3 linked regions of the Xenopus tropicalis genome follow. The protein of the gene in region 1 purifies or fractionates together with the protein of each later gene. This does not show direct contact. Links are inferred from orthologs where the notes say so. Each region holds a gene or a part of one and is shown on either strand. Other genes may lie near its edges.

Evidence for each region.
Region 2: the proteins of smarca4 (region 1) and rb1 purify together in Homo sapiens (affinity purification with western blotting; 7 studies listed by BioGRID, with this or other methods). This does not show direct contact. The link is inferred for Xenopus tropicalis from reciprocal best matches to the Homo sapiens genes SMARCA4 and RB1.
Region 3: the proteins of smarca4 (region 1) and dpf2 purify together in Homo sapiens (affinity purification with mass spectrometry; 13 studies listed by BioGRID and IntAct, counting the BioPlex papers as one, with this or other methods). This does not show direct contact. The link is inferred for Xenopus tropicalis from reciprocal best matches to the Homo sapiens genes SMARCA4 and DPF2.

The regions. Positions count from the first base shown.
Region 1 is NC_030679.2:138,912,839-138,916,841, reverse strand, and holds the start of smarca4 (transcription activator BRG1), read right to left. Parts: upstream 2,801-4,003; 5' UTR 2,688-2,800; intron 1-2,687. UniProt on the Homo sapiens protein: ATPase involved in transcriptional activation and repression of select genes by chromatin remodeling (alteration of DNA-nucleosome topology).
Region 2 is NC_030678.2:134,932,316-134,935,815, forward strand, and holds part of rb1 (retinoblastoma-associated protein), read left to right. Parts: intron 1-49; coding exon 50-167; intron 168-1,961; coding exon 1,962-2,074; intron 2,075-2,242; coding exon 2,243-2,377; intron 2,378-3,500. UniProt on the Homo sapiens protein: Tumor suppressor that is a key regulator of the G1/S transition of the cell cycle. The hypophosphorylated form binds transcription regulators of the E2F family, preventing transcription of E2F-responsive genes.
Region 3 is NC_030680.2:32,338,331-32,341,830, reverse strand, and holds part of dpf2 (zinc finger protein ubi-d4), read left to right. Parts: intron 1-795; coding exon 796-956; intron 957-1,916; coding exon 1,917-2,024; intron 2,025-2,906; coding exon 2,907-3,067; coding exon of another isoform or gene 3,068-3,118; intron 3,119-3,500. UniProt on the Homo sapiens protein: Plays an active role in transcriptional regulation by binding modified histones H3 and H4. Is a negative regulator of myeloid differentiation of hematopoietic progenitor cells. Might also have a role in the development and maturation of lymphoid cells.

The sequences.
Region 1 (4,003 bases):
GTCTCTACGTGTGTTTTAGCAGAGGCAGTTCTCAGTATTGTCTATGGCAGGGTATTATCTGGCGTTTAGTAGCTGTGACAAGTAGCTGCTACTAAGTAGCTCCGTGTGTCTTCATCCTTAAGGCGGCCATAGACACTAAGATCCGCTTGTTTGGTGACCTCGCCAAGCGAGCAGATCTTCTCCCGATATCCCCACCTACCTTGGCGATATCGGCCTAATTCAGTCGTTTGGCCCCAGGGCAAACCGATTGAATTAGAACAACTGGTATAGGCATCCATCGGTTTGGGGAACTAATCAACTATGCAGCCCCCAATCCGACAAAATCAAACCGATCAAGATCTGTTTTTTAGATTTCAGGCCAGATGTGGGTCGGGCAGGCCCGTTGTTAGTGCCCATACACAGGTTGGTAAGCTGCCGTATCGGTCTAAGGGACAGATATCGGCAGCTAGAATCGCCCGCATATGGCCACCTTTAGGCATTTTTATTCTGTATGATATGAGGGTGAAGACACAGGGAGCTACTTAGTAGCAACTATTTGCCGCTGCTACTAAAATTCAGAATATCCTCTGCCATAGACAATACTGAGATTCGCCTCTGGTAAGACACACGTAGTGACAATTATCAGTAAACGATCAGCATTAGTAGTTTCTGTAGCCATGACAAGTAGCTGCTACTAGTAACTCCCTAAGGGCAGTGGCACAAGGGGAGATTAGTCGCCTGTGATAAATCTTCGTTATTGCGGGCGACTAGTCTCCCCGACATGCCATCCCACTCTAAAGAATGTAAATGGCCGAGGGGATGCCATACGCGCCTCTTCAGTTTTCCAAAGTCGCCCAAAGTTTCCATGCAAGGCAACTTCAGAACGTCTCGGATGTGGTACATCCCAACAATTACCAGTATCATTCTCCCCAAAATACACCAACATCTTTATGTACTGTCTGCCTCCTTTTCCTCACACCCACTTGTGTGCTCTCCAGTCACCAGTGGGACCAGCCCATTCAAATTCTCACCAACAGCCCTGTGCCCCCCATCACTCCCACGCTCCCCAGCGGCACTGTGCCCCCCATCACTTCCCACGCTCCCCAGCGCCACTGTGCCCCCTCATCACTCCCACGCTCCCCAGCGCCACTGTGCCCCCCCATCACTCCCACGCTCCCCAGCGCCACTGTGCCCCTCATCACTCCCACGCTCCCCAGCGCCACTGTGCCCCCCCATCCACTCCCACGCTCCCAGCGCCACTGTGCCCCCCATCACTCCCACGCTCCCCAGCGCCACTGTGCCCCCCCATCACTCCCACGCTCCCCAGCGCCACTGTGCCCCCCATCACTCCCACGCTCCCCAGCGCCACTGTGCCCCCCCATCACTCCCACGCTCCCCAGCGCCACTGTGCCCCCCATCACTCCCACGCTCCCCAGCGCCACTGTGCCCCCCCCATCACTCCCACGCTCCCCAGCGCCACTGTGCCCCCCCATCACTCCCACGCTCCCCAGCGCCACTGTGCCCCCCATCACTCCCACGCTCCCCAGCGCCACTGTGCCCCATCACTCCACGCTCCCAGCGCCACTGTGCCCCCATCACTCCCACGCTCCCCAGCGCCACTGTGCCCCCCCATCACTCCCACGCTCCCCAGCGCCACTGTGCCCCCCCATCACTCCCACGCTCCCCAGCGCCACTGTGCCCCCCCCATCACTCCCACGCTCCCCAGCGCCACTGTGCCCCCCCATCACTCCCACGCTCCCAGCGCCACTGTGCCCCCCCATCACTCCCACGCTCCCCCAGCGCCACTGTGCCCCCATCACTCCCACGCTCCCCAGCGCCACTGGTGCCCCCCATCACTCCACGCTCCCAGCGCCACTGTGCCCCCCCCATCACTCCCACGCTCCCCAGCGCCACTGTGCCCCCATCACTCCCCAGCGCCACTGTGCCCCCCCCCATCACTTCCCACGCTCCCCAGCGCCACTGTGCCCCCATCACTCACACGCTCCCCAGCGCCACTGTGCCCCCCATCAGTCCCACGCTCCCCCAGCGGCCCTGTGCCCCACGTTCCCCCAGCTGCCCTGTGCCCCTCTCCTACCCCACACACTCCCCAGCTGCCCTGTGCCCCTCTCCTACCCCACACACTCCCCAGCTGCCCTGTGCCCCTCTCCTACCCCACACTCCCAGCTGCCCTAAACACAGCCCCCCAGGTCTCCCTGCTCTGCAGAACCCACCCCTTAGTGACCCCATTACCCGAATTAACACTGGCACCCCTGTGTGCCCCCCACTCTCGCACCCCGGCCCCCCCACTCACACATTAGTGCCCCACCGCCCAACCCCAGTGGCACCCACCCTCTCCCATCACTTTCCCAGTCCCAGTCACTTGTAGCCCATGAAACTTTCCCTCTATCCCCTCCTCCCACTCACTCGCCCTGTATCCTTCTCCCGGCGCCCTCCCCTCCCACACGGTACCTCTCCGCCACATCCCATCATGCCCCTCTCCCACCCTTGCCCACAACCCACCTCTCTTATTGCCCACTCTCCCCAGGCACCCCAATACCTTCTGCTCCTCGCTGCTATCAGGCCCCTTTGTCCCTTCTGTACCTCCCATTCCCCGCCCACTTCATTCAATAGATGCCCAGGCTCCCCCCGCCGGACACCAGCAGCATGAGAGGCAGCCGGACAAACGCCTTACCCGCCCCTTTCCTTACCTAACTTGCCCCCAAATCCTTCAGCCGTCTCTCTCCAACTATCACCGGGAACACCGGGTCGTTCCCGCCGCTACCTCGGCTCAATTTCTCTGCTCACCCCTCCCCCTTTCTTTTAGCTGCCTAGCACGCAGCGTGCGCGTTACGTCATTGCGTCGCCTGATAGACTGGAGTGGGGCTCTGAGCCGGGAGCGTTGCCATGGAGACATCAGGGGAAGGACAGACATGTTTGATAAGGGAACACCCCCACCCTCCCCACACACGCTCTCCTATGCCTTCTTCTTCCAGTAATATTCCGCGGCTTTTCCCACAAGAATATGCTGTACTTAGGCTATCATGTTGTCTTTATATTTGCTGTTGCTTGTAGTGGGCTCCAAAAAGGCCCTTATTATTTAGGAACATGAGTTTTTGCGTGGGGTGCAATAAAGATAAACGAGAAAATGATGAATAACACTGTGTAAGGCTTGTTAGAAATATAGTCAATCATGCACCCTATATTGTAAAATATAAGGACTTGTCACCAAGCAATTCAATGATATTATAATATTCTGGCCAGTAAAAATGATGCCAATGTTATTGACAGCAAAGTAAGATAAATATATAGAAAGCACAAGGGAAAGGTGGCCACCCTAATCATGTGACACAAATTACATCACTAAGAACCAATTCAAATTGATGACATCAGTAAGCACACCTTATAAAGGTATAATTTGCAGGATTTTCACGAGTCTTCTATAATATAGAAATCATATACCTCATGGCTGGGCCTGCAGATTGGATGGCCATAATTTGTGTAAATTACCCTTATTCAGATTGACAAACCAAAAATACTCAAGGGATGTTATATTGACCAATTAGTGGATTAAGATATACAAATTATGTCTTATATGACTTTTACTAGCAATTAGAATAATGGCACGCTTTTGTCTGAGATATACAAAGCAAGCGATTAGCCATTTTTTATAAGGATTTGGCTAACGGAGGTCATTGTGTCATTTCAGAATAGGTCACATGATCACAGCAACCATGTACCTGACATCAAAGGAAATTGAGTGTGAGATGATGAATTTGCTCCATCCCATCAACAGTGTCTAGTCGTTACAGATCTTTACAAAAAAAAGGAATATAACTCAGTACATCGCCAGAAAGGTCCATATTTAAGAGTGAAAACAGAGCGTTAGAGTTCCTTTCTGGTGCACTGTTGTAAACTATCATTTCAGTACCTAAGATGCAATTTGACTGGCTTCAGTTTATCTTTTGTGGGACTATGTGGTTCAATAAAAAGTAATCATGTGTTGCTTTATGTTTCATTGGTTTAA
Region 2 (3,500 bases), on another chromosome or scaffold:
AATGTGAGTTCCCTCTTACATTCACACACATTCTTATTACATCTTTCAGGCCTGATTTTCAAGATCCAGACTTTAATGTTTTGTGTGAAACTTTGAAGATTTCTAACAATGTTAGAGATAAAGCTTGGAAGACATATGAGAAAATATTTTCCTCCGGCTATATGATGGTAAGTATTATTAATATGATTGTGTATGAGATCTAACTTCTAGTAATGAAAGCTTATGATCTGTATGACAGATCTTTTTTGACAGTAATTTAGCTTTGCATGTAGCACATCTGGGCAGTCTGTTGCACCAGTTCTGATGGGGTCATGCTGAAGAATTTTTGGGTGATAGGTGCACATATTGACACATTTAAACATCTTTAATACTGGACTATCCATCTAATTATGGACACATTTGTCTGGTGGTTTAATAGTGCTGGAAAGTTACCTGTCTGTCCTAGTCATTTACCCAAGCTGCAAATTTGCTTAAATGTTGAAACCAAACTACCCACTGACTCCTTTAGCATCTCAACAGGTTTTAGGTGGTAAGATTTTCAATTTTTTTAAAGGGATACCAGAGTTTTATGGTGTAGATTATAATACAGGTATGGGACCTGTTATCCAGAATGCTCAGGATCTGGGGTGTTCCAGATAAGGGATCTTTCTGTAATTTGGTTCTGCGTACTACAAAATCATTTATGTATTAATTAAACTCAATAGGTTTGTTTTGCTTACTATGTGGATTCATTATACCTTAGTTGGGATCAGGTATAAGATACCTTTTTTCACAGACCAATACATTTTTTTTTTTCTGTTTAAATAATGGTGTGTAGTCAGCTTTCTCAGTTCATTATGCATGATGTAGTACTTTCAGAAACAGCCAGCAAAGCACAATGCAAGTCCTTTCAGGCAGCTATTGTCTCACCTATTCAGTTCTTGTGTCTCAGCCTTTTTGATCTCCCAGTTGATTACAGCTCAGTTTTTGTCTTTTATTGTGCACTTCGCTGTTATAGTATCCCTTTAGGGCTATGGCACATAGGGAGATTAGTCATTTACGGTTAAATCTCAACTATCACAGGTGACTAATCTCCCAGAAATACCTTCCCACCAGCAATAAATTGATTGCCGACAGGAGGCCATATGCGGCTCTTTGTATTCTGAAATTTTGTGCTAAAAGGACTTTTGGTATGGTATATGTTTTTGAACTTTGGATGAATTTAATATTGTGTTGTGCACCAAATAAGGGGATGCAAATATAAGGAACTACATTAGACTGAAGCAAAAAAACATAGTAGAGATACTGCCCATCTGAAAAATACATCACTGGTCCACCCCTAAACATTTGTTTTGCCCCATACGTCACATGCTCCACCCCCTTTCAAGACCGTCAGCCAATAAAATGTGGCAACCCTACAAACAGGTTTAATTATTTTATGTCTGAGATATAAATACTTTATTAGTTTGCTAAAACCTAACATTTTGTCCTATTACAAACAAGCCATCCATGCTGTGTGTCAGTAGTGCCTCATGCTGAAATCAGCAGGGAAAATCTGTCAGGGACTCACAGCATTAGTGTGTTGGTTGCAGTTTCTGAATCGCCCTATCATTAAAAACCTCACCGAAATCTAGATAAATAATATGAACTGTGCAATTTACTAGAGACAAACATTTCACCAGAATAAATGCACTGTTACAATTACATATTTAGTAGACAATCGAGTGAGGACCTTGCTCAAGACAGCTTACAGTCTAAGAGCTCAGCTGAGCTGAATGCCCATTGATAGTTTTAAACTAAATATCCCAGTAACCGCTAAAAATAAAATTTGTCAGTTGCCTATGGGCTCATAAAAGCCCTTTTGAGTTATGTTACCTAATTTTTTGATTTGTATTTCAAAATATTTATCTGCTTTGTTTAAAAGATAATCCAAGCAATCTCTAAAAATGCTAACTAGAACATACTTTGTTTTATCATATTAGAGAGAAGCCACCAAGAAAACAGAGTTATTGGGTCTTTGCCTTTATATTGCTTCTGTGGACTGTGAGGAAATGACGTTTACATTTACAGAACTGTTAAAAACTTTGACGCTAAGGTAAGTTTTTAGATATGCTAAGTATTTTTAATGTGTGAACTGTAATTGCCTAAGACCTCTGACCAGCAATCTTTTGCTGTATAAGTGGGTATGGATATAGTCATATAATATTCACTTTTTATGTATCCTAAAGTTTTAATGTGTTTTTTTTTCCTTTTTTTATATTAGTGTTAGTAGATGTTTTCGACTTTTGAGAGAAATGGATATCAACATGGATGTTCTCAGTAACAAAGTTGACAATGCAATTTCAAAGTTAAAGAAAAAGTATGAAACCATGTGCCTTTTGTACCAGAAGTTTCAAAGGTAAAAATTATAGTTCCATTTCGGTCTGGTCAAAGAAAGCTCTAATTATGCTTACATGTGTTTTTTCAGCTTCATGCAAAACAAATATTGGCTTTTTGAAGCTTGACCCCCTCATAACTCCATCCCTTGTGTGTGCTGGACAGTGCATGTAAATACAAAATAAATATGCAATATTTCCTTTAAGCTTTAGAAAAACACTTTGTAAAAAAGATTTTAGAAAAGAATACTTGCAAGCACTGCGCACATTTTTAATCATCAGGACTTCTTTTTCTTATGTACTGGGAAACTGTTCATGGTTCATAAGCCACTGTTTGCTACTTATTTTTTCTTTTTTACTGAGGAAAACAATAGCAAGTACATCTCTATTTGAATTCATAAACAAAGCCATTGCAGGAAATGTTTCGTTTTAGAAATTCTTTACAAAATATACATTACTTTCTGTTTCCTGTACATACTGCTTTCACCATAAACTGATATCACATTATGGATGTACAGAATGACATGGATGTTTTCCATTGATGGCATATCTTATAGTTAAAGTGGATTTCATAGGAGTGACGGCACTCACAGGAACTGTGAAATTCCCAGTATGGGACTGAAACGTTGGATCTAATAAACCTAAAGTTTTTTCTTTAATTATGGACATGTGTATAAAGTTCCTGTGAGTGCCGTCACTCGTATGAAATACATTTACAATTACCGCACGAGCACCCAGGCATCATCTCAGACTTATGGTGTGCTGCTTACGCTTCTGCATGGATTATAGTTAAAGTGGCATATCTTATGGTCAAATGATTGTTTAATAATAGGATCTTTCATTTGAGGATGAGAAAATCTGACTGTGTACTACCACCTTAAAGGAACAGTAACACCAAAAAATGAAAGAGCTTTAAAGTAATAAAAATATAATGCACTGTTGCCCTGCACTGGTAAAACTGGTGTGTTTGCTACAGTAACACTACTATAATTTATATAATAAGCTGCTGTGTAGCCATGGGGGCTGCCATTCAAACCGGAAAAAAGGAGAAAAGGCACAGGTTACATAGCAGATAACAGATAAGTTCTGTAGAATACAATAGTGTTTTATATGTTATCTGCTATGTGCCTTTTCTCCTTTGAATGG
Region 3 (3,500 bases), on another chromosome or scaffold:
TTTAGAAAGCCAACATTTATGCAGCTCTGTATCAAAACCTTTTGCCAAAGACCAGTTAGCTCTACTGCAGCCCCACTGTTTTTAATGTATCTGCTACATTAAACAAAACAAGTTAGTTGGTTTGGCACAATCTTTATTTTTTATTTTTTTTTGTTATAAATTATTATTGCCTTTTTCCAGAGCTGGGGTCCCCAACCTTTTTTGCCCTTAAGCCACATTTAAATGGATAAAAAAGTTGTGGAGCAGCACAAGAATGAATAATGTACCTGAGGGTACCAAATAAGGGCTGTGATTATTTGGTAGCCCCTATGTGGACTGGCAGCCTGCAGAAGACTGTCCAGTACACCTGGTTTTTATGCAATCAAAACTTTCCTCTGGGTCAATAATTCAATAATGAGCACCTTCTTTAGGCTATTGGGAGCAACATGTTGCTTCTGAGCCATTGGTTGGGGACCACTGCTCCAGAGCATAATCTTGAGGTGGTCACTTAAGTTTCCCATCAGATCGGGGACTACATTGGCTTGTTAATCCGACGGCCCATATACATATATAATAATTTGATTGTTTGGCCACCTTCACTGTGCTCACACAGAAATGATGGGCCCACATATATATCTAGTGAATGGACAGAGCTCTTTTATTTTGATATGCGTTATCTGTTAAAAATTAATTCTGATGAAATAGTTTTCCATTGATAATTTCAGCACAACCACCACACAGGCTTCCAGTTTAAAGCGAGTGAAGCAATTTGCTCACATCCCATAACTTTACAAATATATATATTTTTTCTTCTAGCCTTGGAGAACAGTATTACAAGGATGCCATGGAGCAGTGCCACAATTATAATGCTCGCCTGTGCGCTGAGCGCAGTGTCCGAATGCCTTTCTTAGACTCTCAAACAGGGGTGGCTCAAAGCAATTGCTACATTTGGATGGAGAAGAGACATCGTGGGCCAGGTAAAATATTATGTCCTGTAAGATTGTATAGCTTCTTAACCTGTCTGTTGCTGGCCCTGCATAGCATAGTGCTGCAAGATCCCTTTTGTACATTCCCATGTGTTTAAGAATTGACAGAAGTTGCAAGCCCCTGTTAATTATGCTTGCAACAAACTCAAGCAGATGGCCTTGATTTAAAATAATAACTGTGACACTTTTCGCAGAGCTGAAACTTAAATGATGACCATGAATGTACTGAGGACCTAGAATCCTTGCAATTCACAAGAAAAGTTTTTCAAGGGTCTTAATGTGTATATGGTTTAGACTTGAAAGTGCTCAGCCCTCAAAGGTATAACAGATTATGTGCTACTGAAAATGTACTTGTGTTATCAAACCATACTAATACCACAGAAATATATGGAATATTTTGAAGTTTATTATCTATGCCCAGGTAATTTCTTACCCTTGCCAGGATTTAGCATTTTAGATTTCAGGGCATTCTTCGGAAACCTACTCCAAACGTTGCTTTTTATGCTTGGACATTAATTTAAGTATCTATTCTGCAGGCACCAGGTTTCAAACCTTCTGTCCCTTAGTTACTAAGGCCCTTAATTAAAAATTGAAGTACTGGAAGTACTGGCTGTGTCATCAGTAAGGAAAGAGCATGTTCATGAGTTGGGCACAATGTCATCTTAGTTTGTGCCCATCTTTAAGTTTAATTTTAGGGGAGGGATACAGAAAAGGAAGAAAGAAGCCTACTTTTTGTATAGAAACACAACTGCAAAAGGAAGTTTTATCCCATACATTCTGTATAAATCCTCTATCAGATGTCTTTACAGAAAAGGGTTAAAGATATGCTGATTTTGATTATTGGTAATTTACTGAGGCTTTACTAAATGATTGCGTTTTTTTTATTCCTCCCCTCCCCCCCAAAAAAGCATTACCTATGTTTTGGTAAATTATTTTATTTTGGTTTTTAAGGTTCTGCACCAGGGCAACTTTATACATATCCATCTCGACGCTGGCGCAAAAAGAGAAGGGCACATCCCCCTGAAGATCCCAGGCTCTCTTTCCCATCTCTCAAACCAGGTAAAAGGGGGCAGGCTTTTCTGAGCCCAACATCACTGAAATCAAAACACTGCACTTAAGGGCTAGTGAGTTTTTTTTTCTTTTTGTCTTGTAAATACACTTTCCATACACAAAGCAAAAAAGGCATTTGTTGAGAATAGCAACACAGGGCCAGCCTGGAATATAGTTACAGTTCATTTTGTTAGTCATAGCCTTGTTGGCTTAAAACAAAGCGAAACAGCACACTTCTTCCACACCAATATTTTCAATTATTCAGTGCAAATTTCAACAGTAATCACGTGTTACAATATTTACCAAGTCCAAGTTTAGCCTTGTTTGCTTTACATAGCTAAACCTGCAGAATATTAATTGACTGTGCTAGAGGACATAGAAAATCAGTATAGTTCTTTGGTTCTTGTCAAGTAGCAGTAGGGCCTTGTTTCATGGCTTAATGGGAATTTCATTTTATTTTCATGTTTTGATATAATCGTGATGAACATTTTGGAACAAATATTTGTATACCTAATCTTTCATGAGATATATGAAAGAGGTGTCTGTAAAACAATTGGCAGGTCAAACCTTTGTTTTTTCCCCTTACATTGAAAATGTTAGGCAATAAAAAAGGCATTATTATATTTTGCAGACTTTAGATTTGTGGTAATTTTTAGTAAGAAAACCAACAGTCTTCCGATGTGTAAGATATATTTAGAGCAAATACAATTTCTTTTTAGAATAGCAGAACATTTATTAGACTATTTTCACTTTACCTCGACAATGGATGCACTATTAAAAAATGTTGAATGTGCATGATAAACAATGTCCATTGATTTTTGGTAATTTAGAGGAATCCAATGGAAAAAAGAATATATCTTTATCAAAACTTAAGGTTATTGTGCATTTCAGACCCCGAACAGATGTTAAAGAAAGAGGGCTTAATACCACCAGATGGCAGTAGCCTTGAAGCTCTTCTGCGTTCAGACCCCATTGAGAAGAGAATTATGCCAGACCCCCGGGATGATGACAGCCTTACGGAGTTCCCTCCTCTTTCCAGAAGCGCACGGAAGGTACAGGCCTACGGCGAGCGGCAGCGCTACGTAGCAAAAGGGATAATCACGGTAAAGACAGCGAGGCAGCATGAAGCCTGGGGGAATAGACAGCAGCATTAGTCTAATGTTCGCTATATCAGTTTCTGTGAGTTGCCTGTTTGGGAGGAAAACAGCATATGAATAATTTTCATTCTGCTTGCATAAACTAGTCTTTCTTGTTTGCTGATTTTTACTTACTAAATGATCCTTTACTAATGCTCATTGCACTGCTGTAAACATATCCTATGTGAAAACCTCCCCACAAAAGGTCACAATACAACTTGCTACGAAGTAGAGCAGGAAGGAGTATTCCGTAAATAATCACCTGAAGTTTTAGACTTACAGAAAGGGTTGTAATAATAATTTTCTCTTTTAAATATATACTGTGTGACATTTTCCTGTGATATTAGAT